Linked DNA regions of Stegostoma tigrinum. The protein of the gene in region 2 interacts with the protein of the main gene of each other region in a pairwise test. Links are inferred from orthologs where the notes say so. Each region holds a gene or a part of one and is shown on either strand. Other genes may lie near its edges.

Evidence for each region.
Region 1: the proteins of nuclear receptor-interacting protein 1-like (region 2) and calcium and integrin-binding protein 1-like interact in a two-hybrid assay, tested with the Homo sapiens proteins (2 studies listed by BioGRID and IntAct). The link is inferred for Stegostoma tigrinum from reciprocal best matches to the Homo sapiens genes NRIP1 and CIB1.

What each region holds. Positions count from the first base shown.
Region 1 is NC_081389.1:22,356,794-22,372,338, reverse strand, and holds the start of calcium and integrin-binding protein 1-like, read right to left. Parts: upstream 7,965-15,545; 5' UTR 7,884-7,964; intron 7,878-7,883; exon of another isoform or gene 7,625-7,877; intron 1-7,624. Other genes in the region: gdpgp1 (GDP-D-glucose phosphorylase 1), read right to left, coding at 12,885-14,042; tubulin polyglutamylase ttll6-like, read left to right, coding at 14,465-14,512. UniProt on the Homo sapiens protein: Calcium-binding protein that plays a role in the regulation of numerous cellular processes, such as cell differentiation, cell division, cell proliferation, cell migration, thrombosis, angiogenesis, cardiac hypertrophy and apoptosis.
Region 2 is NC_081365.1:8,051,504-8,067,392, forward strand, and holds the start of nuclear receptor-interacting protein 1-like, read right to left. Parts: upstream 6,871-15,889; 5' UTR 6,834-6,870; intron 6,826-6,833; exon of another isoform or gene 6,584-6,825; intron 6,252-6,583; exon of another isoform or gene 6,157-6,251; 5' UTR 6,079-6,156; intron 5,832-6,078; exon of another isoform or gene 5,771-5,831; intron 1,999-5,770; exon of another isoform or gene 1,869-1,998; intron 555-1,868; exon of another isoform or gene 491-554; intron 1-490. UniProt on the Homo sapiens protein: Modulates transcriptional activation by steroid receptors such as NR3C1, NR3C2 and ESR1. Also modulates transcriptional repression by nuclear hormone receptors.

The DNA.
Region 1 (15,545 bases), on a different chromosome or scaffold from region 2:
TATAATTAATGCAGACCTTTCCACAAGCCAAACTTCCTATCGCAAGCTGGGACTCTCCCCCCCACCCCCCGGAGCACAGGAGGTCTATAATATCATGAGTGGTGTAGATAAGGTCGATAACCAACAGCTTTTCCCCTATGGTAGGGGAAAACTAGAGGGCGTAGGTTTAAGGTAAGGGGGAGAGGTACAAAAGGGTTCAGAGGGGCAATTTTTTTTCACACAGAGGGGTGGTGATTGTCTGGAATGGGCAGCCGGAGGTGAATACAGTTATGTCATTTAAGAAACCTTTAGACACGTACATGGATGGGATGGGTATGGAGGGATATGGACGAAAGGAAGGGAAATAGGACTGGATTAATTATGAAAACTGGGCAGTATGGACAAGTTGGGCCGAAGGGCCAATTTCCATGCTATAGACCTGTACGACTCCATGACTCCAACAAGGTAGATAGGGATTATGAAGACGGATGGATTTGGCTGCAATTTCCTCTGATACTAAACACTACATAACTCTAAGGAAGGGTCACTGCACCCGAAACGTTAACTCTTTTTTTCCCCTTCACAGATGCTGCAGGACCTGCTGAGCTTTTCTAACAACTTAGTTTTGTTCCTGACTTAGAGCAGTTCTCTCGGTTTTTACTAAATAACTCTTGACTGTTTTATTTCCAGTAAGTTTTCCATTAATCTAGTAATCATGTTGAAATTACACACCTAAATCAATAATACAAATATCTCAGTATATTGGTAGAGGGTGTACATGAATAGATTCATAGTCATACAGCGTGGAAACACACCTTTTGGTCCAACTAGTCCATGCCAACCATAATCCCAAAGTAATCCCACCTGCTCGCACTTGGCCCAAATCCTTCTAAACATTTTGTATTTACATACTTATCAAAATGTCTTTTAAATATTTTTAACTGTACCCACATCCACTATTTCCTCTGGTAGTTCATTTCACAGATGAACCACAGGTGAAATTATAAAATAAAAGTGCCCATTTTTTAAAATCTTTCTCCTCTCACCTTAAAAATATGTTGCCTCGACTCAAAATCCCCCACCGTAGGGAAAAGACACCTGTCATTATATATACACCCCTCATGACTTTACAAACTCAATTACGTCAAGAGTCAACATGTTGGCAGGGGCTAAAGAAATATGGGGTGGCTATCAATATCTAAAAGGTAAGTTCACCAAATATTAGATTCACTCAAGGGTATGTGTTCCGCTGATAACCAAACACAACGTACTCCCAAATGTTAAACCACAGAAGAGGAAATCTTTTGAAATTAAAACATATAATGGTAATGTCATTGAATTAATAAGCACTTTGGGGATGTGTATTCAAATTCCAGAATTGAAAACTAGTCTCCAATACAGTGACCAAGAATGACCATTAATTATGGTAAAGAAAATTCATCTCATTCACTAATATCCTTCAGGGAAGGAAATCTACCATCCCTACCCAGTCTGGCCTACATGTGACTCTAGATCTCCAGTAAACATGGTTGACTCTTGGGTAACAAGGTGTAGAGCTGGATGAACACAGCAGGCCAAGCTGCATCAAAGGAGCAGGAAAGCTGACGTTTCGGGCCGGGACCCTTCTTCAGAAATGGGGGAGAGGAAGGGGGTTCTGAAATAAATAGGGAGGGGGGGAGGCAGATAGAAGGTGGATAAAGGAGAAGATAGGTGGAGAGGAGACAGACAAGTCAAAGAGGTGGGAATGGAACCAGTAAAGGTGAGTGTAGGTAGGGAGGGGATCAGTCAGTCCAGGGAGGACAGACAGGTCAAGGAGGCGGGATGAGGTTAGTGGGTAGGATTTGAGAGTGGCGCTTGAGGTAAGAGGACAGGTTAGGGAGGCAGGGACAAGCTGGGCTGGTTTTGGGATGTGGTCGAGGGCGGGGAGATTTTGAAGCTTGTGAAGTCCACACTGGTACCCTTGGGCTGCAGGGTTCCCAAGCAAAATATGAGATGCTGTTCCTGCAGCTTTTGGGTGGCATCGTTGTGGCACGGCAGGAGGCCCTGGTCGTCCAAGGAGTGGGAGGGGGAGTTGGAATGGTGGAGTTGTTTGTTGCCAACGAAGTGTAGGTGTTCCACAAAGCGATCCCCAAGCCTCTGCTTGGAATTGACTCTTAACTGTTTTTTTCTGAAAAGGACTATCAAGTCATTCAGTTCAAGAGAATATTGGCTTTGTGAGAGACGCCCACATTCCAAAAAACTTCTTAAAACAGAACTTTTAAAAATTCTGTTCAGAAGGGTTCACCTTCAAGAAAGACAATTGCTACCTTTGAATTTAAAGAAATGTAATAATGGACTCATGCAGAAACCAGTAAAAATCTCCACCTTGACCATATGCATTACTTTTAACTCAATTCCTGGCATGAACCTTTTGCCATCGTTTAAACAATTTTATCAATCCTGATTTGTCTCTCAGACCGCAATTCTCACCCCTTTTCGTAGCATCTTAAATTGTTCCTCATTGCTGGGCCCGCTGCAAACACGGTTTACAGAGACAGTTATTTCCATATCAGCTTTCTGTTTGTTCCAGATCTCACTGCAGCAGCAAGGAATGTATTAATCGCTCTTTCCTTTCCTACTCCTGCAGCTGTGTTGTGCCTTTAATGACTGTTCGCTACTTTCACCCGTTACATGTTATAGGACTGATCCAGCCATTACCATTCATCTTGTTTTGGTTTTCAATCTGCCCTGCTTACATTCCAACTGGAAAACCTCAAATAAACTAACTATAATTGATCATGTCCTGCTTCGATTGGTTTGACTCCTATACTCAGAGGCCTTCCCGTCACTTCCATTAATGTCATTTATATGGGCACAAACCTCTAGACTGACCATTCTTTGCAGTACTGAGGGGTTGCATCTTTGGATAGGTTAATCTCGTCCACTTTCTCAGGCAGATATATAAGATTCCACAGTATTAGTTTGAAGATGGAGATGAGAGTTCTCCCTAGTGTCCTAGGCAAAATTTATTCCCCTAATCTTAGAATCCCTACAATGTGGAAGCAGCTATTCGACCCATCAAGTCCACACAAACCCTCTGAACAGTATCCCACCTAGACCCACCCCTCTACTCTACCCTTGTAACCCTGTATTTTCCATGGCAAACCCATCTAGCCTTCAGGTGCTTGGTCAATTTAGCATGGCCAATCCAACTAACCTGCACATCTTTGGACTGTGGGTGGAAACTGAAGCACCCGGAGAAAACCCACGCAGGCACGGGGTGAACGTCTGTGTGAAGTTTGCATAATTGCACGAGGGTGGAATTGAACCTGGGTCCCTGGCACTGTGAGGCAGCAGTGCTAACCACTGAGCCACAGTGCCACCCAATCAACATCACACAAATAAATGATCTGATAATGACCAGATTGCTGTTTGTGGGAGCTTGCTGTGTCCACTTTGGCTGCTCTGTTTCCTACACTATGACTCTTTGAAAAGCACTTCCTGTCATCATGAAAGGCACTACAGAAACCCAATCCGTCTTTGCTTGTCTTGACCGATTATGGCCCACGCACTTGATTCCAAATACATTACAAGGATTTGCTGGACTGCCAAGCCTCTGTATAACTGAGCTGTGAGCTCCTGGCACCAAACTCTCACCAGAATTAAACTGAGTTTATTCATTTTGAACTACCATTAAAATTATAGAATGAAAGCTCTCACCAGTCCTTGGTTGTAAATTCAGTCTAAAATTCCCATCAGTACTGACTTATGAATCTGGTAACCTTCCTCCTTTAAAAGCTCACACTTTTTCCATTTCACTAATGATGAAATGCAAGCAGCTATTTATTAATGCTGCATACATGAAGATGATGCAGACTTTCTCTGCACTGTGGAAGCCTTGTAAAAGAATAAACAAACAAATGTTGACCTGCTCTCAGTTCTGCTTAGTGTCTCTCTATGCAAATTATAGCTGCTTATTGAACACTGGGGATGAAATCTCAGCAGTCATCCACTTAACTCTTGCAAAATTCTCTTGATCACTAACAAGATCTACGACGCTTGGGAACAAAGTCAATAAAATAATTTTACTAAACTATCACTAACCACATTCAAATCCGAAGTCTCTATCAGTGTTTCATCATGCATCGGGCTTCCTGGGTGACTAGTTCAGCAAAACCAGAATGGAGATCATAGTATCTATGACAATGATTTCATTTTCAACTCCTATATTTCCTTTGCACTAATGCCATTGGCAAGAAGTTATAATATTAATACTGAGTCTGAGTTATAAATCCTATTCCCTGAAAGACTCAGGTTAAGAAAAAAGAACATAAGAAAAATGTACAAGTTAGGAGTTGACCACTCAGCCCCTTTAACCATTCAATAAGATCATGGCTTATCTGATTATCCACGTATCTACTTAGCCCCTGATTCATTCTGTGATTTCTTGCGAATCTATCCATCTCTGTCTTACAAGTATCAAAAAGATTCTGATTCGGCAACTTCTGTGGAAGGGTATTCATTAGAGTCATGGCCCTCAGAGGAAGAAAGAGTGCCTCATCTCCAACTCCGATATGTATTTTTAAACAGTAATTTAAAGTTCTGGATTCTCCCATTAGAGGCACCCATTCTATATGCACACTGTTAAGACCCCTATATAAAGGGATCTTATATGTTTCAATCAAGGTGCCTCTTACTCTTCTAATCTCCAATGGATACACGCCCAGCATGACCAAACTTCCCTTGTAAGACACCTGCCCATTCCAGATATTAGTCTAGATCGGTAGGAAGGTATATTGTGAAAACATAAGGAAGTTGCAGGTGGATATAGATAGGTTGAGTGAATGTGTAAAAACCTTGACAGGTCGGGAAAGAAGTTGCTCACTATTTTACTCTTCTGCCAAAAGCAGAACACTATTTAAGCAGAGAATGCTGAACTGAGAGATGCAGAGAGATTTAGGTGTTTTGGTGCATGAGTCACAAAAGGGTAGTGGCAGATACAACATGTAATCAAGAAGGCAATTAGCTTTGTGTTCCCTAATATAAGTGGAACTGAATGTAAAAATAAGGACATTACGCTTTAGTTATATAGGACATTGGTGAGAATATTGGTTCTTGAATATTGGTTGCACTTTTGTCTCCTTATTTAAGGATGTAAATGTGTTAGAGGAGATTTACAAGATTGATAACTGAAATGAGTGGGTTTTCTCATGAGGAAGGGTTGGACAGGCTGGGCTTGTTCCCGTTGGAGTTTAGTAGAGTGAGGAGTGACTTGGTCAAATGACTGAATGGTCTTGACAAGGTGGGCATGGAAAGAATTTTCTTGTGTGCATCAGTCCAGAACTTGAGAACCCCGTTTTAAAATTAGGGGTCGCCATTTCAGGACAGAAGCGAGAATTACCTTCTCAGCATCTCCGCTGTGTAGACCTTTGACGATAACATCCCTCAGTAATTCTGACAAGGCCCAATCTTTCAAAGGCAAACTGTTTCTTCCCAAGGATTAGCCTTGTGAATGCTCTCTGGACGACATCTAGCATTAAGTATTAGAATGTGTCTCATCAGACAAAATTTTCTCTGTTCACAGATTCCCTCATTGGTATTGGGGAGAGGGAAGACAGAGAGGAAGAGACTTGGAGAGAGGGAGTAATTGGAGAAGAAAGAGAGAAAGGGAAGGATTTGGGTGGAATCAGAGAGAGAGAGAGAGAGAGAGAGAGAGAGAGAGAAAGGATTTGGGTGGGGGGGGTAGAAGAATGGTTTAGGGAGAAATTGAGAAACAGAGAAAGTCTGCTCTCTTTCAAAGAAAATACACAATCTTTCTTGACAAAGTACACATAAGAAATTATTGTGCAAGATTAAAGTGCATGGGATTGGGAGAAGAGAAATTGAGGTGGACAGAAAACTGGTTGGCAGAGAAGAAACAAAGATTCGGAATTGATGGGTCCTTTTCAATTTGGTTGGCAGTAACTATTGGAGTGCCACAAGGATCAATGCTGAGACCCCAGCTATTCACAATAAATATTAATGATTTGGATGAGGAAACAAAATGTAACATTTCAATATTTTCGGATGATACCAGGTTGGGTGGGAGGATGAAATGGAAAAGGATGCCGAGATCCTTCAGCATGATCTGGGCAGCTTGGGTGAATCGGCAAATCAATGGCAGATGCAGGATAATTTGGATAAATATGTGGTTATGCACTTTGGAAGCAAAAACAAGAAGGCAGCTTACTACCCGACTGGTTGTAAACTGGGAGAGGGGAGTGTGCAGCGGGACCTGGGTGAAACCAACACCATTTCAAGCCCACTGACTCCCACAGCTACCTAGAATACACCTCCTCCCACCCACCTTCCTGCAAAAATTCCATCCCCTACTCCCAGTTCCTCCGCCTCCACCACATCTGCACCCAGGATGAGGCATTCCACTCCTGTACATCCCAGATGTGGTCATCCTTCAAGGACCGCAACTACCCACCCTGTCCCACAATGGTCGAGAACGCCCTCGACCATGTCTCCCACATTTCCCGCAACTCATCCCTCACACCCGCTCCCCGCAATGACCGCCAAAAGACAATCCCCCTAGTCCTCACATACCACCCCACCAACCTCCGAACACAACGCATCATCCTCCGACACTTCCACCAACTGCAATCCGACCCCACCACCAAAGACATTTTTCCATCCCCACCCTTGTCTGCCTTCTGGAGAGACCAAGTTTTTCTGAAGCGTCTAGACCTGAAACATCAGCCTTCCTGCTCCTCTGATGCTGCTTGGCCTGCTGTGTTCACCCAGCTCTGCACCTTGTTATCTCAGATTCTCCAGCGTCTGCAGTTCCTACTATCGCTGTAGGTAAGCATGCAGGTGCAGCAGGTGATAAGGAAGGCCTTCATTGCGAGAGGTTTTGAGTACTTGTTGTGGTCTCCTTCTCTGAGGAAGGATGCTCTTGCTCTCGAGGGAGTGCAGGGAAGGTTTACCAGCTGAGTCCAGGAATGGCAGGTCTGATGTAGCAGGAGAGAGTGTCAAGGTTAGGGTTGTTTTCGCTGGAGTTCAGACAAACGAGCAGGGGGCTTTCGTAGAGGCTTATAAAATTCTAACAAGTCTAGACAGGGTAGATGCAGAATGTCCCGGATGCCGGGTGTGTCCAAAACCAGGGATCACAGTGCGAGGTTTCAGGGTAGGCCACTTAAGATGGAAATGAGGAGACATTTCTTCACCCAAAGAGTGGAGAGTCTGTGGAATTCATTATCACAGGAAGTAGTTGATGTCAAAACATTATCTGTATTCAAGAGGCGACTAGATATAGCACTTAGGGTGAATGGGATCAAAAGTTGTTGGGAGAAAGCAGGATTAGGCTATTGAGTTGGACCATCAGCCATGATCGTGGTAAATGGCGGAGCAGGCTCGAAGGGCAGAATGGCCTCCCCCTATGTGTCAAATCCCTCCGGGGTGGTTCAGGTAGGAAATGCAGAGTTGGGCAGGGGGGGGCAGGGGGAGCAGGAGAAGCTGGCGCCGAGCAGACGGGGATGCAGCCACCGAGTTTCTCTATGGGTCTCTCAGCGAAATCTTCTCTACCTCACCCCCCCCCAAAAAAAAAGTCTCTCTCCTCCCCCAGCCCCAGACACCCAAAACAAACTTTACAGGAATATCAAAGCACTAAATAAATAGTTACTTTTAAAAACTCTGCTCCGTCACTCGTCCCTGACTTGCCCCGCTCTGTCTTGAGGCAGCTGCTTTGCCCGGAATCCCCGGGGTTAGCTGCTCGGTTCCCTCCAGCGCCGCGCCGCGTCGCTCCGATCGGCTCCGGGGAAGCCGGAGGGAGCCGGGGAGCAGTGGCTCGGGCGGGGCTCGCCAGAGAACGAGAAGCACCCAAACGGAAAACAAAACCTTCGACACTTCGACAGCAGAAAGAGTTCAAAAAGTTTACAGACCTGAGAACAACAAGTTAACGCGGAAGTTGGGGACAAACTGCAGAAAGGGGCTCCGCAGAGCCGCCTGCTGTTGTAGTTACACAAGGACAGAGTTAGGCCATTCGGCCCATCGAATCTGCTCCTGTTTGACGCGTTTCTCAATCCGGCCAGGCAACGATCAAAACCTGATGTGAAAAGTTACATATTTCAACAGGAACAAAAGAAAAATTAAAGTGGCGCCGTTTAGAGGGAAACAACGCGATCAGGGGGCTATTTAAATGCTCGGGCCCGAGTTACTGCAGCTAGAATTGGAAATTCTGACAATTTTTAACGGGAGAGAGCTAAGGCAGACAAGCCTTCAGAGATTGATAAATTCTTGATCTCACAAGGAATCAAGGGCTACGGGGAGAGTGTAGGGAAGTGAAGTAGAAATGCCCATCAGGCATGATTAAATGGCGGAGTGGACTCGATGGGTCGAATGGCCTTACTTCCACTCCTATGTCTTATGGTCTAAGCCAAAATTGGCCTAAACCTGACTATTTGTGTACAGGAAATTCAGAACCTGTGCAACATTTTGAATATATAAACGCATGTTGAGATGAAAAGTATATAATGCACATATTTTGCGAATTTTAAAATAGATGCAGATGATACAGGTCAGTTCTGTGAAGTTTTTCTTAAATAAAATGGGTCAGAAAGTGCTTTCTAAACAGTGACCTAAATGCATCAATTCTAAGAAAGCATTTCAGTGCAGTCAACCCCTGCACAACATCTCTACTTCTTCAGGCGGCTCAGGAAATTTGTCATGTCCATAAGGTCCCTCACCAACTCCTACAGGTGCCCCATTGAAAGCAAACTGTCCAGGTGTATAACAGGCTGGTACGGCAACTGCTCTACCCAGGGCTGTAAGAAACTACAGAAGGTGGTGTGCACTGTCCAGACCATCACGGAAGCCAATCTTCCATCCATGGACTCCATTTACATGGCTCACTTCCATGGAAAGACTGCCAACATCATCAAAGACCTATCGTGGCCTGGTAATGATCTCCTACAACCTCTTCTGTCAGGCAGAAGATACAGGAGATTGAACACACGCACCAGCATGTTCAGTGACAGCTTCTTCCTGTCTGTTATTTGACTGATGAACAGACTCTCTAGCGTCAAATAACACTGATGTTGCTAATGTTGATCTGGCCTTGCACATACCCTGTGCAATGTAACCTGTATGCCTCTAAATCTTTTTACAACCTTTGATCTGTACATCCTTGCTATGATCTCCCTGTACTGCTCGTAAACAAAGCTTTTCACTGTATTTAGGTACATGTGACAATCAATCAATCAATAATGCATGGAATATTTGTATTACTGAGTTACAACAGACCAGAAACCAATTAGTTTAGTATCAAAATAAAATTGATGGATAAACGCAGCAGGTCTAGCAGCATCTGAAGAGAGAATGTAGATTTAATGTTCTGAAGATGAGTGACTGGACTAGGGTGTTAACTCTGCTTTCTGTCCACAGACACTCTGTCTATGCCTGCCAAGTTTCTCTTGCAATTTGTTTTAATTTAGTATTGACATCAGAACAGAAGTTCAAGGTTTCAATTTGGAAACATCAAAGTTCAATTCAGAAGGGAAAACAGTTTCTCCTGGAAAAAGCAATCAAGCTTTCATTTTACAAGAGCTGAAAATGTTTCAGTTGTGCAGCTTCAAAGCCACAAGGGTTTGAGTAAAAATCTTCAAGTTGTTAGAACTGAACATGTACAGGCTGTCAGAATTGAGGAAGGTTCATGCCAGTAGATTCAGAAAGTAGTCACAAAGTTGTCTCTGCAGTCCAGGGAAAAGACACTGGGAAGAGTCCGTAATGTAAAAATATAAAGAGCTAAAAAGAAAATTCTCTGGAATTGAGCATCTTTAAAAGGATACTGGTGGAAAATAATTTGTAACTTTGTTTTGTTGATGGTGTTAAATCTTTTGTGTAATAAACTGATGGTCAGCTACGAAAGAACATCTGCAGCCTCATGTGAATACATTTAAGTGCCTAAGTACCACAGTGACCAATGCAATAAACTGAAAGGATTTTCAGCCACATTATAGTCTGGCATCTGACTTGTCCAGTATTGCCACCTGATGGGACCATAACAATACATAAATCGAGATGTAAGCAACAGCATTCACCGAAGCACTGAACAAGGGTGGGAGTACGAGAGTGAGATGAGCTGTAAAGAAATCATCAATAAAAGGGGTAAACCATATGCATTAAGTCTCAGTCAATTCCATGATGATGCCACGAGGGGCAACAGAGGCCTTGGCCGAGGGCAGGATAAAAGCGATCTGTTCGGCTGCCTAAACAGGGTGCTGCATGTTACTTGGATAGGTTTCACCGTACAGTTAACTAGCAGCACTTGGTAAGCAGACCATCACACTGATAGCTGTATTCAGTTACCGCCAACTATAATTCTTTACCTGATCCATGGTCTTGTAATTTTCCTCCTGTTATTGAATATATATGATTCACTTGTTTTTATAAATGATATTTAATAAGATATTGCAATGAAGTAGAGGCACCAATTCATGCAAGTTATTTTATATACATAGAAGTGCAATTAGACATATCCAGTTCAACCTATTCCATACATTTTGATTTAACATGTTTCAAGTCTTAATCCAGTTTCACTTTAAAGTTTTTGTAGACACCTTGCCCTTTTTGGATTACAGTTTAAATCAAAATTCTGTCTGTTCTTTCTGCAGTCACTACTGGAACAAGAGAAGTTCACCCGAGGAACCATGACAGTATTTAATACTCAAACATCACAAACACACATGATCCAGCTGTTTCTGGGCACTTTGTGTGCAAATAAGCAGCTGTGCTTCTATCATTATAACAATGCCCACACATTTCAAAAGTATTCAAATTGGCTGTAAAATACTTTACAATATCCTAATATGGTAGAAGGCTCCATTGAAATGTCAGTCTTTCTTTAAAGGCCCCACTTGTGTAATGTATCCCATATTTGAACGCCTTCACCTGGGAATTTTTATTCTAATCATCCATCATTGCTGTGTCCACATTACATGAACTTTATCTAACAAACACCAAACAGAAATTGCTGATTTAATGAAATATACAGTTGCTCAGTCCCTTTTATAAAAGGAAGGAGGCTGACATAGAGCTCCCCGAGCTCTCCAGAAGTTAGGAAGAATGATTAATTGCTTCTGAAAACAGTGGTCAATTCTTCAGCTTGCACATCATAATTTCACAGAGGCAGTGTAAGTTCCAAAACGTTTTCGTCGTCATCTTCAATCAATATTTCTTTGAAATGTCAGTACTTGTGGCCGTCAATACCACTGGAGCCATTTACCCAAACTCATTTAACTGCCTATTCTTTTCAACACTCATGTACTTTTCCAATGTTGATGTCTCTTTGGAAAAGCAGAGTTCTCCAAATCCAAATGTTTCTCAATAGTGAAATAGGTTTTGAGTCTGACAAAGGTGTTACACAGGGAGCAGACTGATCATGGCCTCAAATACAGAATTCCATTCCTTGCCCTCTGAAGATATCAATTTATAATGGGATTCATTTCCCAGTTTCTGACTGTGCTTCATTGACCACTCAAGCTGGAGTTTCAAGTGTATCACAAGGCTGCTCATCAATGGGAGAGTAGTGTCATTGCTGTGCTGAGCTCAGCTAGCTGTCATAGGGTGTCCGCATGCATGTCTTTGCCAAAAGAAATCACCACACAGATCAAAACCCCCTAACAGCAAGCTTCTGTCTTGGTAAACATTTAAGAAAGTGGCACATTCCATTCCTGAACTCAAGTATAATACATATAAATTAAAGATAAACGTAAGTTGTGCACATGTGAACATCCAGCATCAGTTTTGCTATTTAGCTTACCAGCACAAAGGAATTGTAATGAGTACTTAAGAAATCAAAAAGGAATACTGGATTCTGTGATGGTCAACAGGGCATTGGTGAGACCACATCTACAACACTGTGTAGATAAAGTACTCTTTATTTAAGAAAGGATATCAATACACAAGCAGTTCAGAAAAGTTCACAAGTCTTTTCTGACTTGAAGCAACTTACGACGTCAATTTGGACCCATATCCGTTGGGGTTATGAAGAATGAGCAGCATCTTGCGAGTAGCAAGGAATTGGTCATTTCAGACTCTCAAGTTTTACCGAAACACACAAACGTCTCAAGGGGACTTGAGATGGTGAATGTTGTGAGGAAGTTTCCCCCTTAAAGGAAAGACCAGGGAATGCAGTTTAAAGATTAGAGGTCTCTCATTCAAGTCATGGATCAGGAGAACTTTTTTTTTCAATTATGGGTTCATGGAAATCTCTTGCCACAGAGTGGTGGAGGTATGGAGCAATTTAATATTTTAAATAAAATGTGTTGGAAATATCTGTAGAAGGGAAAGAGTTCACTTTCAAGCCTGATATGATTTTATATGCTCTTTGGGGGCAGGTGGAAGGGCAAGTGGAACAGATGGGAAAGCTGCCACAAAACAAAGGCAAAGAGAGTGTTAATGGTAGTAGAGAATACATACAGACGAGAACAGGTGAAATGATGGGGGTTAATAGCAGCAGCTGGATTAGCTCTGCTTTTACTGCATTGATGCAGAAATGTACTTATTCCTGGAGGGTGGATATCTTGTGCACAGACAATTAACAGTTAACCACATCGTGTGGATCGAGAGTCAAGTGGAGGCTAGATGAGGCAAGGACGGCTGAGATTCCTTCCCTAAAGGATAAGTGTGAATCAAGTGGGGTTTTAAAACAATTAACAATGGTTGTCTGGTTGTTATCAGTCTATTCTATTTCTTTCAGAATTTTTAAATTGAATGTAAATTTGCTTAAGTGGAATTCGCTTCCATGTCCCCAGAACATCAGGTCTCTGGAATACTAGAGGCAGACACAATACGACTGTGACAAAGAGAGAAATTTGGCAAATGGCAGTTGAGGCTTTAACCACATCTTTGGGGTTAGGAGCAGATTTCAGGGGTTGAATGGCCTATTGCTCCTCTTGGTGATTATCCTGGAGGAGTTGGGTTATCTCTAAGAGGAGCTGGGAGTATTCCTTCTCGGGTAGTGCGTGTCTGCGGACCATTCCCAGCGCCTCCTCCTCGGTCAGGCTGCTGTACTCCTGCGGGGTTTTGAGGGGCCAGTGGCCAGCTAGTTCACACAGAGCCACGGTGAAGGCCGTAGGATCCTTGGCCCCGAAACAGCTGCGGCGTGGCCAGAGGATGATCCGGGCGCCGTCATGCTCCAAAGAGGAGGAGGTTTGGCCAGGTGGCGGAGTGCCGAGCGGGCATCCCCGGGTCAGAAAGAGGTTGTGGGCCAGGGAACGGCGGATGAAGAGGCCGGTCAGGGCATGGAGAGTGAGGGCAGCCCGGGCCAGGCCTCCATCACCGCAGTCTGTGTAGAGGACCAAGCCGCCGGCCGGGTGCTCGGACAGCAGATGGACAGGGAGAAAACGGGCCGAGGCTGGGGCCCCGGGCTCCAGTAGAGGACGGGTGGTTGCCCACTCTATCTCCAGGCGCTGGTCCAGGTAGTAGCCGTGCAGGTGGAGATGGTTGACAGAGGCCTCGGCGCCCAGGCTGTTGAAGCCGACGCGGAAGCTGGGATCCGAGCTCAGGAAGAGAAGCTCCAGAGCCCTCAGCACTGAGCCCTGGGTGAGGATCTGCGGCAGGCGACGGGCCGGTTCAGGCAGAAGCAGGACGTGACCCCACTCCAAGGGGCTGACATTGATGACCAACAAGGCCTCGGCCTCATCCCCAGCCTCTCCAAGATCCCGCTTCCGGAGGCGGAACAGCACCTCCCGGGCCGGGATGCGGGTGAAGTTGAACCGCTGCGGATCGAAGGGCTGCCGGACGCTGAGGATCTCCTGCGGTGGCCGCCGCTCACGGGCCCGCTCGGGGTTGAGCTGCGCTACCAGGCCCCGGGGCCCCGGCAGGACGCGGGTGGGGGGTCCCCGGCGCGGCAGGCGGTAACGGAAGCAGCCGCTGGACAACCGCTCCTCCCAGGCCGACAGCAGAGCCGCGTCGAAGCGGGAGCCCGAGCCACCCCGTTGGACCCCGTTCCAGATCAGGTCTTCCTCGGAGTAAATAAAGACCGGGGCCTGGTCCCAAGGCAGGCCCAGGCCTCCGTCCGGCTTCGTGGGCGCTGCCATCTTGCTCTGACGTCACGGGTACCATCTGTTACCATGGTTTCCAGTGGCGGTACACTGTCAAAAGTTAGAAGGGGAAGCAATCGAAATAAAAATCCTTCCAAAATCACAGAAACACCTCGTGGTTCGAAATCTGAAATAAAATTAGAATTTAAAAAAACAGTCAACGAGGATCATGCCTCGCCCATCGCGGAAGAGCCAATTAGAAATAAAGATTATAGCAGCCAATCGAATCACGCGATCACCAACCAAACTGTGCGCCGGAGCTCTGCTCCGAACCAATAGGAGGAGGGCTGACTGTTAACAGCCAATAATAGGGAAGCCTCTGCCACTGGCGACCAATCGCCATCGCGGAGGTCGGGTGGCCAATAACAAGGTGTGTGCCCTGGACCAATCGGAGGTGGCGTCTAGTTGCCAGGGCGACAATGGGGCCAGAGCCGAGTCCGCGGCCTGGACTGGCAGGCGAGCGCCAGGTGAGTGACTGACAGTGGGAGAAAGAAGGGGCCCTTTCAACTACCAGCCGCTTCCCATCGCCATCACTGCTACCACCGGCCCATTGGGAGGCCCGGGCTTTCAGATCCGGCCATCGCCCTCACCTCCCGCTTCGAACCCATAGCAACGGGGTAGCGGGGGTGGGGGGCGACTTAGCAACGGCCTGGTCCGGACCTGATCGGGCCTGTGCTGACCTGACCGGCCCGGCCCACGCATTGAACTGAGTCATTTAGACTTGAAACGTTAGCTTGCTCTCTCGCTCAATGGATGCTGCCTTGACCCAACAGCGATCCTCAGCATATTTACGTTTTCAGTCTGAAAAACAGCGAGCCGCAGGTTGAGACAAGAGGCTCTGGCCAACATCTCTGTGCAGGCTTCCTGCGCTGCTCCGGTACAAGCTGGAAAAACTGAGCCTCGTTATCCGCCGGGGGCCTGCAGCTCGCTGGGTCCAATATTGAGTTAAATAATTTTAGATCCTGACCACCTCCGCCTCCTACAATCTGACCCCACAACCAAAGAGATATTTCCCTCCCCACCCCTGTCTGCCTTCCCTAGGCACTGCTCTCTCCACAGCTCCCTCATCCGCTCCACATTCCGCACTAACCCTACCACCCCCCAGGACCTTTCCCTGCAACTGCAGGAAGTGCCACCTCCCCCCACCACCCACCCTCATCCCAGGCCCCAGGAAGACTTCCCACATCAAGCAGAGGTTCACCTGCACATCCGTCAATGTGGCATATTGTATTCAGTGTTCCCAGTGTAACCTCCTCTACATTGGGGAAACCAAGTCGGAGCTTGGGGACCGCTTTGTGAAACACCTCCACTCGGTTTGCAATAAACAACTGCACCTCCCAGTCACAAACCATTTCAACAACCCCCCCCCCCCACTTCCTTAGACGACATGTCCATCACGGCCTCCTGCAGTGCCACAACGATGCCATCCGAAGGTTGCAGGAACAGCACCCCATATTTTCCTTGGGAACCCTGCAGCCCAATGGTATTAATGCAGACTTC
Region 2 (15,889 bases):
CTTTAGCATTGAAGGATAAAATTCCATTTGCTTTCCTAATTGTTGTACCTGCAGACCAACCTCTGTGATTCATGCACAAGGACGCCCAGGTCCCTCTGCATAGCAGCATGCTGCAACTTTTTACCATTCAAGTAATAATCCTTTTTACTATTACTCCGCCCAAAATGTAGGACTTCACATTTATTTACACTGTATTCCATCTACCAGACCTTTGCCTACTCATTCAATGTATCTATGTTCCTCTGCAAAGTTTCACAGTCCTCTGCACACATTGCTCTGCCACTCATCTTAGTGTCATCTGCAAACTTTGACACCTTACACGTGGTCGCCAACTCCAAATCATCTGCATAAATTGTGAATAACTGTGGTCCCAACACAGATCCCTGAGGCACACCACTAGTCACTGATTGCCAGCCAGAATAGCCCTCATTTATGCCCACTCTTTGCTTCCTGTTAGTCAACCAATCCTCTATCCATGCTAATACTTTACCTCTAACACCATGCATCCTTATCTTATGCAGCAGCCTCTTGTGTGGCTCCTTGTCGAAGGCCTTTTGGAAATCTAGGTACACCGCATCCACTGGGTCCCCATTGTCCACGTTGCTCGTAATGTCTGCATAGAATTTCAAAGGATTTGTCAAGCATGATCTGCCCTTCATGAGCCCATGCTGTGTCTGCCCAATGGGACAATTTCTATCTAGATGCCTTGCTATTTCTTCCTTGATAATAGATTCAAGCATCCTTCCCACTGCACAGGTTAAGCTAACCGGTCTATAGTTCCCTATCTTTTGTCTACCTCCCTTTATAAACAGTGGCGGCACATTTGCTGTTTTCCAATCTGCTGGGACTGCAGCAGGCGCACTGGCGAATTTTGGAAAATTACCGCCAGTGCACCTATTTCTCCCGCCATCTCTTTTATTACCCTGGGATGCATTCCATCAGGGCCAGGAGACTTATCAACCCTTAGCTCCATTAGCTTGCCCAACACTACCTCTTCCGTAATAATGATTGTTTCTGGGTCCTGACCTACCTTTGTTTCTTTGTCAATTACTGGCATGTCATTAGTGTCCTCCACTGTGAAGACCGATACAAAATACCTCGGCCATTTCATCATATCCCACAACTAAATTCCCCTTCTCATCCTCTAAAGAGCCAACGTTTACTTTGGCCACTCTTTTTCATTTTATATATTTATAGAAACTTTTGCTATCTGTCTTCATATTCTGTGCTAGTTTTTTCTCATGTTCCATCTCGCTTTTTTTTATAGCTCCTTTTGTGGCTTTCTGTTGACCTTTAAAGTTTTCCCAATCTTCTGGTTTCATGCTGTTTTTGGCCACTGTGTATGTCTTCTCCTTCAATTTGATAGACTCCCTTATTTCCTTAGACACCCATGGCAGATTACCCATTTTCTTACAGTCCTTTCTTTTCATCTCTCTTCTCAAAGGCTGTCCCCTTAGTTCTGGAGTGACCCACAAAAGAAAACATACCTTTCACCTTGTCTACTTTGTCAAGACTGCTCAGAATTTTGTCCACTTCAATCAAATCACCTCTCTCATTTCTAAACCCCCATGGAAACAAGACCAGGGTGTCTAACTTATCCTCAACAGATGACACAGTCATTCCAGACATCTCAACAACACGTTATGTGATCCTTGGATTGTAAGTAAGAGGGAAGATGAGGAGTCCCAAAGATCTAAAGGGCAAGGATAGACCGAGACAGAGGAGTTGATGGTGTGACTGGTGCTGGTCCAGGCAGGGATCAAGAGGGATGCTGTACACAAAAGCTCAGAAAGCATACAAGAGGAAAGTGCAGAGGAGCAGAGTCCATGCTAATATCAATATAACAGGGAAAGAAAGTAAATACACTTGCCAAACACTTTGTTTTGCAAGTGTCGTAACTCCTTTCATTTCACTTGTAACACCCAAATCGTGATCAATCCTGTGGACTCCGGTCCATTCTTCGTGATTTCAGCAATGGCTCAAGGGCCAGGGCACTTCCTATAACAAAAACCAAAATTGCTATGAAAGCTCATCAGGTCTGACGGCATCGAAAGAGAGAAATCAGAGCTGACTTTTCGGGTCGACTGACCCTTCCTCAGTTCTGCTCGACAGGTCGAGCTTTTCTAGTAGTTTCTGTTTTTGTTTCTTATTTACAGCATCAGCAGTTTATTCGGGTTTTATTTCGAGGACATTTTCCAACTTGGACTCACACGGGGTTGTGGCTTTGAGTCCCACAGGAAGACCTGACTCTGCCTTGCAGCCCAGACAGAGCGCTGTTCTGCCAGAGATGCTGTGTGCTGTGTTGATTTTAAACCTTATCTGGCCCATGACTAGGGGTTAGATGGTCCTCTGGCAAAATCTTAAAGAGGAGCTGGGGTAAGTCATCACTTATACATCAATCTACACTGAAATAAGATAATCTCATCATTGCTGTTCGTGGGAGCCTGCTGTGCACACAGCCATATTTCCTACACTGCAGCACAGTCTCTGCACTTCAAACACATGCTCTGAAGTGTTTCCAGAAATCCTGAAATTCTGCTTAAATACCTCCCTTATTGTTCCCTTCATTCCAAGAGAGTCAGTTTCAAAATTCCCAAACCCAGGATAGGGAGTGAATCCAATTGGGTTGGCATCAATCAGATCCATAGCAGCCAGCCAGCTAACTGCACCATTAGACACAGTAAGAACTGCAGATGCTGGAGTCAGAGCTAACACAGTGTGGAGCTGGAGGAACACAGCAGGCCAGGCAGCATCTGAGGAGCAGGAAAGTTAGGCATCGCAGTCGGGTTATAACTAACTCAGAGGTGGTGTCCCAACCGAAAACATCAACTTTCCTGTTCTTCTGATGCTGTCTGACCTGCTGTGCTCCCCCAGCTCCACACTGTGTTATAACTGCACCGTCACTTCCTCCCACCCCTAAAGATTTACAGTTGCTACGACACTTGTACATAAATGATGTGGGCTGGAGCTATGGACACTGATGACAGAGTCTCCATCATTTTTTTTGACTCCATCACATGGCTATCCAGCAATGTATCCCATCCTGAGGCAAGGTTTGGGGGGATATGGGCCAAGCGCAGGCAGGTGGGACTAGTTTAGTTTGGGATTAAGGGCGGTATGGACTAGTTGGACCGAAGGATCTGTTTCTGTACTATAGGACTCGAAGGCAGCCTGCCATTGGTATATGCCGGGGGGATTCGCAGGATGCCGCTCAACCGATTGGGCAGTGTTATGAGTGCATCTTCCTTATTCCTCAAAGGGAGAAAACCCAAAGCTTCTGGCCAAGAGGTAGGGACAGGACCCATGGTCTAATGATGCCCTGTAGATACTTGCCCCCAGTGGTCACAGACTGCAGGGAGGCAATGAACTGGGAAGCATAATTACAGCAACCAACCCCATCTCTGGTCAACTTCCTAGCATGCAGCGCTAGGTAGCAGGAAACCTGATGGAGTTTTCCCCCTTTTCTAGTCCAGGGGCAGCAAGACCAGTTCCAGAACATTCTCGACAGACAGCCATATAGGGCCACCACAGCTACATTAAACATGGGGGAAGGCAATGACTAACTGGTATTATTGATGGCCTATTAATCCTGAGACTGCCATCCTTACCTGGTCTAGCCTACATGTGACTCCAGACCCACAGCAATGTGGGTGGCTCTTAACTGCCCTCTGGGCAATTAGGGATGGGCAATAAATGCTGCCTATTCAGCGATGCTCTTATTTTGGGAATGAGTAAAGGAACTTCAGTTACTGTGCAAAATAAATCACTCACCACAAAGATACTGAGCACAATACACAGCTTAACATACACACAGTACAATAGTTTTGTTGTCAGACTAATAGTCCAGAGAGAACAAAATTAAATTTCACCCAGAGATAGCAAACTCACTCTCATCATTGTAACTAAATTGACTTCTTTTTAAAAGAAATCTGAAAATAACAAACTAGCACTAGTAAAACAACCATGGAGCTGTCAAGTTTGTATTAAGACCATATTCATGTTCACTTACACGGTCAATCTCACAAGGGCCAGGCCTAAATGTGGCTCTGGACACACCTGATAATTCTCTACAGCTCCGTCTTGTTTTCTGACAAGATACTTGGTGTCATTAAATCTTCATGAGGTCAACTTAACAACACATTCCCTTGGAACCTCGGGATGGGTAACAAATACCTGTCCTGTCAGCAACATGCGTGATGAAATAAAAAGGATCCTTTCTGTTTCATCGTGACAATACTTTGTGCAGTGCAAATACTGTAGGGATAATAAACATTACTCCAATATTTCAGAAGACTAAAGGACCCATATACAGCAGGGAAATTCAAAATTTAAAATTAAGTTCTATGTATTTAGCATACTAGCTCACCTTAACTGGGACTATAGTCAGATTCAGAGTTGGCGGAGTTTCCTGTTCTTGATCATACTCCAGTAACACTCTGTGTGTGTGTGTGTGTGTGTGTGTGTGTGTGTGTGTATGCATGTGCACGTGCACACATACACACATGGTCAAGTTTACAGCGACCCAATTGATTACAGAGGCACGAAGTCAACCTTAAAGACACCACGCACAGCCAAAACAAATGAGAAGACTAATCCACAGTTACATCCAAAGTTAATAAGAAAACACTTCTCAGCAACACCTTAATCTGAATGTTCTCATCCTCATCTTCAAATCCTCCCTGGCCTTGCTCTTCTCCTACTTCTGTGATTCTTCGGGAAATCTGCCTACTTGCTATTCTGGCCTCTTGGGCACCTCACACTTGCTTGGTGGCTGTGTTTTTGGTGGTATGGTGCACAAGCTGTGGAAATTGCCTCCTGAGCCTCACCACGTTTCTCCCCGTCCTTGTTCAACACATCTATATCCTTGACCGAGCTTTCGGTCCTCACCCCTGGCATCCTGCGATGTGCCATCGCTTCAGTGTCCAAGCACGTGCCTGCCTCGACAGTCTCCTTCGAAATGCCTTGCAGCATTTTACGAGGCTTAAGGCACCATACGAATGCAAGTGGATGTTGACTTGAGAAAGCCTTTGAACAGTCAAGAAGGAAAAGAAAGGTGTCCGGGGAGGGGGGGGAGCTCTTCCACTGAGGACATGAGGACGTAATGGTGCCATCCACAGTGCACTGAACCACAGGCTGACAATGGTCAGGAATCACAATAGGTACCTCTCAGAATTGGGTGGAAGAGAATCCTTTCAAGGACAGGGGGCTGGAGGGAGAGGGTTCAGTGTTACTGGGAATGGGATAAAACAGAATAGAAAGTGAGTGGGGGTCAGAGGAGAATATACAGAAACCAAAATCTCAGCAACTGAAGGCCATTAAATACAGATTTTATATAGATATATAAACATTAAATTAACCACACACTGAATCAATAGCTTGTGGCTAATATAATTCAAATGATTCGCCCTGTAGACTCTGTGCATTGACCACTGACCACATTGAAACAACTTCAGAGCAGTCGGTTCGAAACAGTCCAGTTTACAAATTGCTAACACCAGCTCTTTCAAAATGGGCATTAATAAATTCTTTATTGTTTAAAAAAAAAGATATAACCGAAACGCTAGCAACTCCCAGTCAGTACAAGTCAAAGGCTGGAAAAAACAATGCTGAGAGGCCCAAATATCAAAATGTGGTATATAAATACACAGAGACACACACATACACAACACAAACCGGCTAAAGAATAGCGATATTAATTCTTGAACAACACAATGCTTTTTTAAAAAAAAACAAGCGCATGATAAGTGGTTCCAAATCAACAAAGGCTCACTGATTTCCCCTCCAAATGTCAGTGGGTTAATTGTGATGAAGGTAGATGCTTTGTATTGACGGCCTCTCTGCGGATGGAGGGTTTGCATGAAGAAGGAGGCGGAAATGTACAGACAGCACTGGAGATCGCCAAACAGAAATACCCTGGGATTGGGGAAAGTGAGAACAGCAGTCCAAGTCAATTTCACCAGTCGGAAATTAACTTGGCCCGCGATCCAACCCATCCTCTGCGTCTTTTTTTTCCTCAAAAAATAAATGACATACAAACAGATCCAGAATACGTTTTAAATAAATGATTGGTCCTCTTACCTGATCTCCCCCTTTTTTTATTTGGTTACACAGCACCTCCGGGAATCCCAGCCAGAAATCAGGAAACGCTGCAGTTTTCTTTTTTTTTGCAAATGGTTACAAAGGAAATGTCTCAGCTTGTTGTTGCTGTTGCCTTGTTTAATTCAGGATCAGCGACCAATCCTTCCCCTCCACCGCCCGCCGTCCCAAGACCCCCTCCCCACACCCTCACAAACAACCCTTCCCACTAACACCCCCCCCCCCCCCCTCCCCACTCCGCACCTCACCACCGACAGACACTGGATTCAAAGGCCGGCTTCAGGAATACAAAGTAACGTGGGTTGCAAAATGTATCTCCTGGAGCGCCCCGCGATCCAACATTTTGTGTTAAAAATGAAAGAAAAAAAACGCAGGGGGACAGATCAAAGCAAAGGCTTAATGATGATCAAGAGTGAAATTAATGCTGGAAGATTGGGGCAAATAATAATTCTGAAGAGGTTCTGTCTCTCACCCACAAAACACAAACCTTCTCCGGTCAAGCTATAACAGAGAATGAGGCAGTCCAGGCCGACCTAATGCCTCGGCACCTCCCAATTGAAGACATCTAGAAAAACACACACACACACACACACGACACAGTACAGGCTAAAAGCTCCACCACTCAACACGAGCAAACTCTGGGATTCAGACTGCCCCACAGAGCGTAGAGCTTACAGTATTTACTCAACCTCATAGCTCCGCTGACATTGCAAACCCTCGCCAGCATATTCTCTCACCAACATTTTTCGTCCTGCTCACACACCACCCCGGTCCCTTCTCTCTGACTTCTCCCCCCACCCCCTTAATTCGTCTTTCTTACGACCCTTTGTGTTTCTCCCTTCGCCCTCTCCAGTTTCCAGCGCCAGGAAGCATTTGCGTTTGCATAGCGCCTGTCGCGGCCACACGCCGGAGTGTTTAATTCCCGGCGTTTTACTGAAGGAAGGATGTTGAAGCCCCGGAGAGAGTGGAATGGAGACTTACTGGAATGAGTAATTTTGGAATCAAAGGGAAGATTAGAGAAGGAGCAAATTATTGCAGATGCTGAGTGCTGAGCTGAAAGCCAATAACAAAGGAGCTTGTTTTCTTTCCACGGATACTGCCTAACCCACTCCAATTCTTGTTTTCATAAAGAGTAGAGAGATTGAGCTTATCCTCCTTGGTGCAGAGAGGTGACCTTATTGAGGTTTTCAAAATTATGAACAATTTTGACAGGGTAAAGGGGGATAACCTGTTTTCACTAGTTGGTAGATCAGTAACTAGGGGTCACAATTTCAAGATTGTCAGCAAGACAGCTAGGAGAGAGATGAGGAGAAACTTCTTTACTCAGAGAGTTGTTGGGATTTGGAATGTGCTAACCGGGAGAGTGGTGGAGGTCGATTCCATGGGAGGTTTCAAAAAGGAGCTGGATATATATCTGAAAGTGACGAATTTAGAGGGCTACAGCAACAAAGCTGGAGAATGGGATTAGCTGGGTAGATCTTTTGGGAGCCTGTACTCACTCAATGGGTTGAATGGCCTCTTTGTGTACTGTAAAATTCTATGACCTCAGGACTTTCAAAAGCCTCTTCATGGCAAGATGCGGGTATGTTGCTTTTGTGTTACCCTGTTTGTCACATAGGGAACCATTTAGACGCACAGCAAGCTCCCACAAACAGCAATAAGATAAAAACCAAAACAACTGTGGATGCTGTAAATCAGGAACAAAAACAAAGTTGCTGGAAAAGCTCAGCAGGTCTGGCAGCATCTGTGGAGGTGAAAACAGAGTTAACGTTTCGGGGTCCAGTCACCTGAGGAAGGGTTATGAGGAAGGGTCACCAGACCGGAAACGTCAACTCTGTTTTCTCCTTCACAGATGCTGCCAGACCTGCTGAGCTTTTCCAACAGCAATAAGATTACGGTCTGTGCAAGTGAAACTGTGCAAAACAACATTAAACAGGGCAAATAAGGAGAAGTACCAACAGAACCTTCTGGAAACACAATGGATCAGGCAGCATCTCCAAGGCTACAACCCCAGTTCGTAATCTTGCAGTTTTACTGATAGGTCTGGGACAAAGAGAAACTAGTCTAGGAGAGACGATGTAACTATTGTCAATTGTTAAAATAAACCCGCTGAAAAATCCAATGCAGGTGCTGGGAATAAAAAACAAAGACAGGAACTGCTGGAGAAATGCAGTTGGCCTGGCAGCATCTGTGGAGAGAACGCAGAGTTAGTGTTTCAGGTCCAGTAATTAACAGTGATAAAACTTAATTTACAAAGGGAAAAGGGGTTACATTACAAAACTTAAACTCTGTTTTTCTCTCCACTGATGTTGCCAGACATGCTGAGTTTCTCCAGTACTTGCTGTTTACATTTCAGGTTTTCAACAGCTGCGGTACTTTAGTTCTGAAAATTGGTAGAATTTTGTTTCTGCTGTTATGACTTGGAGAAAATTGCCTGAAACTGCATGTTTTATAAATTGTGTGTTGTTTTCACAGTTAATGTGCTTTTACTTTCATTCATGGGAGTTATTGATTAGGCCAGTATTTATTATCCTAAGTGCAGTGAAGAATCAACCCCACGGAATCACAAGCAGGTCAGACCAGATTAGAATAACAGATTTCCTTTTCTAAAGGGTATTGGTGGATCAGATTTGTTTTAAATCAACAATTCAACAGAAGTTACATGGTCATAATTAGACGAGCTTCTGATATTGCAGATTCCGACTAAATTTCAATTCCACTATCTGGAATTTGAACCAATATGTAGGTGCTGAGATCACTAGCCCAGTGACATTACCACATCTACTCCATTAAAAGGCTGACAGCACGTTTGATGAGAGAGACATAGTTAATGTTTCAAAATCCCTCTCCTCGGAAGAAGTTACGCTAGAGGCAAAATGCGAACTTTGTTTCTCTCTCCACAGACATTGCCAGACCTGCCAAGTTTCACTTGCGCTTAACAGTTCATGTTTAAACTCTCCAGCATTTTGTATTTAGTTTAGCCCCTACAGTGTGGGATAGGCCATTTGGCCAAACAAGTCCACACTGACTCTCCAAAGAGCATCCCACCCAGACGCACACCCCCTACCCTATTGCCCTTGGCTAATCTACTTAACTCACTCATTCCTGGGCACTATGGCAAAGCCAATCCACCTAAACTGCACAAGCTTGGGCTCCATACAGATAGTTGCCTGAGGCTAGGATTGAACCCAGGCCTCTAGCACTGTAAGGCAGCACTGCTAACCTCAGCCACTGTGCCATCCAACGTCTACAAAAATTTGCAGTGGCCTTTTGTGACACGCTCAGCTCTGTGCTAGATGGTTATAGGTTTGAGACCCACTCCTAAGACATGGGCTGCAGCCTAAGGGCCATCCTGCAATGTTGGAAGTGCCTGCATTCGGGTAAACATTTAAATTGAGGACCTGATTGATTCCTTAGGTGGATTCTAAAAACTTTCATAGGCCACTTCGTCAAAGGAGAAGCCCCTAGGTGGCCTGGCATTTATCCTCAAATCATATCGTTCCAGCCAGAAAATTGGGCCTTTCCCACCTTATTGCTTGTGAGACCTTGCTTCATGCAAAGTCGCGCCATGTTTTGACCATTTCAACAATGGTTGCCCATCAAAAATATAACATTTTCTGTCAGATGTTGCTATCACACTTTCCTTCAATCAAACACCACAGTTAACTCAACGTTGAGCAAAAGAAGAGGTGGTGTGAGGCACTTGGGAGGGAGAGTGGCTGGTGGTGGTGTGAGCTAACACCAATAACCCAGATTTATTGTCAAATAATGAACTGTGAACAGTGGAAGTCTGCGACAAAACCAGAAATTGCTGGAGAAACTCAGCCAGTCTGGCAGCATCAATGGAGACAGAAAGCAGAGTTAACGTTTCAGGTCCTGTGACCCTTCAGAACTGGCAGACCTGAATCTGCTTCAGAATCCAGGCACCTGCACTAATACCCAGGAGACAAGCATTCAAATGCCACCTGGCAGCTGGAGGCATTTCAATGGAATTCATAAATTCATCATCAATAAAATTCTAAGGTGATTTCGACTGATCATGAATCTGCCAAATTATTGTTTCAAAAACTCCATCTGGTTCACTAATGTCCTTTAGAGAAGGAAATCTGCCATCCTTACCTGGTCTAGGCTACTTGTGACTCCAGACCCACAGCAATGTAGCTGACTTGCAACTGACCTTGGTACAGACTGAGCAAGGCACTCAGATCAAGGGCATGTGAGCATCAAAAATAAGGCCAGGAGGAGGCCATTCAGCCCGTCAAGCCTCCTGTACTATTCAATTGCATCATTGCTAACCTGATTGGTCTCAACACTCCTTTCTTGCCTGCTGCTCATATGTGTTGACTCTTTTGTTGATCTAATCTCTGTCTTGAATGTATTCAATGACTCAGCCTCCTGGAAGGAGAATTGTAAATATTAGTGACCCTTTGGAAGGAGATAAATGTTGGCCCCGCCAATAACATCCGCATCCAAGAATGAATATATAAAAATCCAAAATGTGACCTGGATCTGGAAAGCTGTTGTTTCCTCTCCCTGCAGATAATGACACACTATTCCCACTCATGAAAAGATCGAGAGGCCACAGACTTAAGGCATTTGGCAAAAGAAGTAAAAGTGAACTGAGACTAAAAGAGTTTCACTTAACAAGTAATTAGGGTCTGGAATGCACTGGTAATGAAAGTGTGGTGGAGGCAGGTTCAATCAAGCTTTTCAAGAGGTACTTAGACTGTTATCTGTAAAGGAAAGTTTAGAACATAAGATGCAAGAGCAGAAGGAGGCCATTCAGCCCAATAAGCCTATTCTGTCATCCAATAAGCTCATGGCTGGTCGATTAATCCACAATTCAATTTTCCTGCCTTTTCTCCATAACTTTTCTTTCCCTTATTGATTAAAATTCTGTCCATCTCTCAGGGGTTTTGAATCTGTGGAATTTTCTATTGAGGCTGGGTTATTGTATATCATTTATTGTATATTATTGTATTTTGGGATGCAGTGGGGGGAGGCCCATTTTGAAGCTTGTGAAATCCACATTGATAAAACCAGCCCAGCTCATCCCCGCCTCCCTAACCTGTTCTTCCTCTCACCTATCCCCTCCTCCCACCTCAAGCCGCACCCCCATCTCCTCACTACGAACCTCATCCCGCCCCCTTGACCTATCCCTTCTCCCTGGACTGACCTATCCCCTCCCTACCTCCCCACCTACACTCACCTTTACTGGCTCCATCCCCGCCCCTTTAACTTGTCTGTCTCCTCTCCAACTATCTTCTCCTCTATCCATCCGCAATTTGCCTCCTCCTCTCTCCCTATTTATTTCAGAACTCTCTCCCCCTCCTCCTTCTCTGATGAGGGGACTAGGCCTGAATTATCAGCTTTTGTGCTCCTGAGATGCTGTTGGGCCTGCTGTGTTCATCCAGCTTCCAGATTCTCCAGCATCTGCAGTTCCCATTATCTCTTATCGTTGAGTTGAATGGCCTACTTCTGCTCTTACATCTTATGGTCTTGGAGTGGTAGAGTCATAACCTCATACAAAAACAGTGACTGCAGCCGTAACACAGTAATTCTGGCAGCAACTGTGGAGAGAACACAGAGTTAATATTTCAAGTCCAGTGACCCTTCATCATAACTGAATACAGCTGGGAAAGAGGGTATTTATGCTAATGACAGGGTGGGGTGTGGGTGTTGAGTAGAGTACATGAAAGCAGAGCTCAGAGAAATGCAGAGAAAGTAAAAAGAGATTGGCAAACAATGATATAACTGATAATAAGTAAGAGAGCAACAAATATTAGGTATGGTGAATAGATGAAATTGTGTTGGCTGTGCAGGGCGTACCCATGCAATGCAGTAGCTAGGGGTATTGGGGGATGTGATAACCAACACGGATGAGGGCATTCTGGATATTCCATCTGCCAAATTTTTGCATTTTCTCTTTGCCTGTTTCTATCCCTCTGCAGACGCTTTATATCACCCTCACCACTTGCCTTCCTACCTATTCTTCTCATCTGCACGCTCGGCTACAGTATGTTTATTTTCCTCATCCAAGTCATTAATGAAGAATGTAAATAACTGTGACTCCAATACTGATCCTACTGGCACTCCACTAGGTAGAGGTTGCCATCCTGAAGATGATCCCCTCATCCCAGCTCTCTGTTCTCTGTAAATTAACCAAACCCCTGTTCATGCTAATGTACTCTCCCCAACACTAGTTGCTTTCTGAAAATGCAAATATATCATGTCTATTGTTTCCCTTTTATCTATCTTGCTTGTTACTTTCTCAAAACTTTCCAGTAAATTTATCAGACATGATGTTCCCTTCATGAAGCCATGCTGATTCTACTTGATCACATCATATTTTTCTAAATGCTCTGCTATTATATTCTTTCTAATAGACACTAACATTTTCCCCATAATTGATGTTAAGCTAACTGGCCTATAGTTACCTTTCTTTAGTCCCCTCCCTTTTTAAATAAAATTGTTACATTGGCAGTTTTCCAATCTCATGGGACTTCACCAGAACCTAAGGATTCTTGCAAGATTACAAACAATGCATCCACAATGCCTGTGACTACTTCCTCTAAACTCCCAGCGTGCACCCCATCAGATCCCATCAGATAAATGAGTGACTTTATCAGTCTTTAGCTTCAGTAATTTCCCCCATACATCTTTTTGATAGTGATAGTTATTGTACTTATTTCATTTTGTTCCTTGATTTTTGGTAATTTTGGACTGCTATTAGTATCTTTGACTATGAATGCAAAGTATTTTATTCAATTCCTACCATTTCCTGGTTCTCTGTTGTTGTTTTCTCTTGTCTGGCTTCTCTCTTCCCTTTTACATATTTAAAGAAGCTCTTTCTCTCCATCTTGATATTACTTCCAAGTTTACCCCAAAGTTTATTTCTTCCCTCTTTATTATTTTTTGTCATCTTCTATTGATGTATAAAACGTTCTCAAATCCTCTGACTTACCATGAATCTCAGCAGCATTATATCCTTTCTATTTCAGTTCAATAGTGTCCTTAACTTCCCTGCTTAAGCCATGCATGGTTAATCCCCTTCCTCGAGATCTTCTTCCTCACTGGAATATAGCTCGTTCCCATTATGTCCTCATTTAGTCTCTGCCTCACCATTTAGCTACTGTTAGGGGCCCTATAGATTACTCCTACTAGCATCTTCTTTCCCTTTTTATCTCCTAACTCAACCTATAACTTCAAATCCATGATTATTTCTTGCTACTTATTATACTTATTCCATCCCTACCAACAAAGCAACCTCACCAGCCCTTCCTTTCTGACTCTCACAAACACCTGATTATTTAGTTCCTTGCTTTGATCACCTTGCAACCAAGTATCCATCATGGCTATGATACCATATCCATTAACCTGTGTTTGTACTATTAATTCACTGATTTTGTTCCAAATACTGCATGCACCCAAATAGAGAGCGATTAATTTTGACATTTCTTACCATTTTACCCCTTGTGACCCTATTTGCTGTGGTTTTTCGATATTTGTAAACTCTGTGCCTTTCAATCTCTCTCTGGGTGTCAGTATCCAAATAGCTGCTGTGTAATGCTATCATATTCTCTTACTTTGTGAGCCCACGTATCCCGTCTCTCAAACTCATTAATTAGTTTAAAGCCGTCTTTAAAGACTTTTGTATTAGATTTGAAAGGTCATTGGTCCCAGCCCATCGCACCAAAGACCCCTTCCTGTGCCAGTACCTCACACACCGAAACCTATTGCATCCACACCAATCTTAGGTCCATGCAGTCTTGTCCACACAGCTTCAAGAACATTGTACCTATTGCATCTCACGTAGACCAGACTAAGTAAGGCCAGCAGTTTCCATCCCTGAAGGACAGTAATGAACCAAATGGGGTTTTCCAACAATTGACAATGGTTTTATGGTCATCGTTAGACTCTTAATTCTGGCTTATCTTAAAAATTGAATTCAAACTCCATCATCTGCCATGGTGGGATTCAAACCTGGAACATTACCTGGAACATTAATGGTCTGGTAATAACTCCAATACACCATTGTTTCCCTTTTGTGAAACTTTGCAGTTGCTTCTTGCTGAGACTGTAACAGTTGTCAGGACCCAATGCTTGTGAGATGAAAGCCAGAAAGCCACAATTTAAACATTCTTGTCCTCTTGCAAAATCACTCCAAAATATTTCATGCTCCCCACTCCCGCACCTCCTCCCCCAGTCCCTTACTTTTCCATGATCTCTGCATCCTTAAATTCTTGTTTCTTGAGATGCCTCAGTTTCAGTTGCCACACCACAGCAGCTATGTGGTTAGCACTGCAGCCAGGGACCCGGGTTCGATTCCAGCCTCGGGCAACTGTCTGTGTGGAGTTTGCACATTCTCCCTGTGTCTGTGTGGGTTTCCTCTGGGTGCTCCAGTTTCCTCCCACAGCCCAAAGATGTGCAGGTTAGGTGGACCGGCCATGCTAAATTGCCCATAGTGTTCAGGGGTATGTGGGTTATAGGGGGATGGGTCTGGGTGGGATGCTTCAGGGGGCAGTGTGGACTTGTTGGGCCGAAGGGCCTGTTTCTACATTGTAGGTAATCTAATCTAAAAACTCTGGAACTCTCTCCCTAAACCATTCTGCAAGCTTCGCTCTACAGTTAAAATGCTCTTTAAAAGCTAAAACGCTCCAGTCACCTTAATACTTCCTAATGTGGCTCAGTGATATATTTCATTTGATAATGTACATGAAGCATGTAGATATGTTTACCGCATCAAAGGTGCTATATAACTGCACCTTGTAGCTGTAGACAATCCAAAGGCCTATACGGATGATTGGAGGATCTGCAGCCATTTTGAAATGGTTACGGACCTTAGTAGAGATATGCCAAAAATTCAAAAGATTTGGGGGGCAGAGGTGAGTAAGTTGGCCATCACCAAGGAGAAGGTGCTAGAAAAGCTGAATGGCCTGAAGGTGGACAAATTACCAGGACCAGATGGACAATCCCCCAGAGTTCTGAAGGAGAGGGCTGAAGAGGTTGTGGACTTGTTCATGCTCATCTTTCAGAAATCATTGGAGTCAGGGAGGGTCCCAGAGGACTGGAAAATCAATAACATAAGACCCCCCCCCACATTTAAGAAAGGAATAAGGAAAAAATGAGAAATTACAGGCCAATTAGCCTGACCTTGGTCGTTGGTAAAATTGTGGAGTCCATTGTTTTGGATGAGATTTCTGAACTCTTGAAGTATATTGAAAAATAGGGCAAAGTCAGCATGGCTTCATCAAGGAGGAAACATGCCTGACAAATCTGCTAGAATTCTTTGAGAATGTAATGAGCAAATCAGACCAAGGAGAACCAATGGATGTTATCTACCTAGACTTCAAGAAGGCCTTTGACAAGGTGCCGAACAGGAGCCTGCTAAATAAGACAAGGGCCCTTGGTGTTAGAGGCAAGGTGCTAACATGCACAGAAGATTGGCGATCTGGCAGAAAACAGGGAGTGGGGATAAAAGGGTCTTTCACAGGGCGGCAGCTGGTGAGAAGTGGTGTTTCGCAAGGGTCAGTGTTGGGACCACAACTTTTCACTTTATACATTAATGATCAACATGAAGGAACTGAGGACATTCAGGCTATGCTTGTAGATGATACAAAGATAGGTAGAGGGACAGGTAGTATTAAGGAGATGAGGAGGCTGCACAAGGATTTGGACAGATCAGGAGAGTGAACAATGAAGTGGCAGTTGGATTACAACGTGAGAAAATATGAGGTCATGCGCTTTGTTCGGAAGAATAGAGGCATGGACTATTTTCTGAATGGCAGAAAAT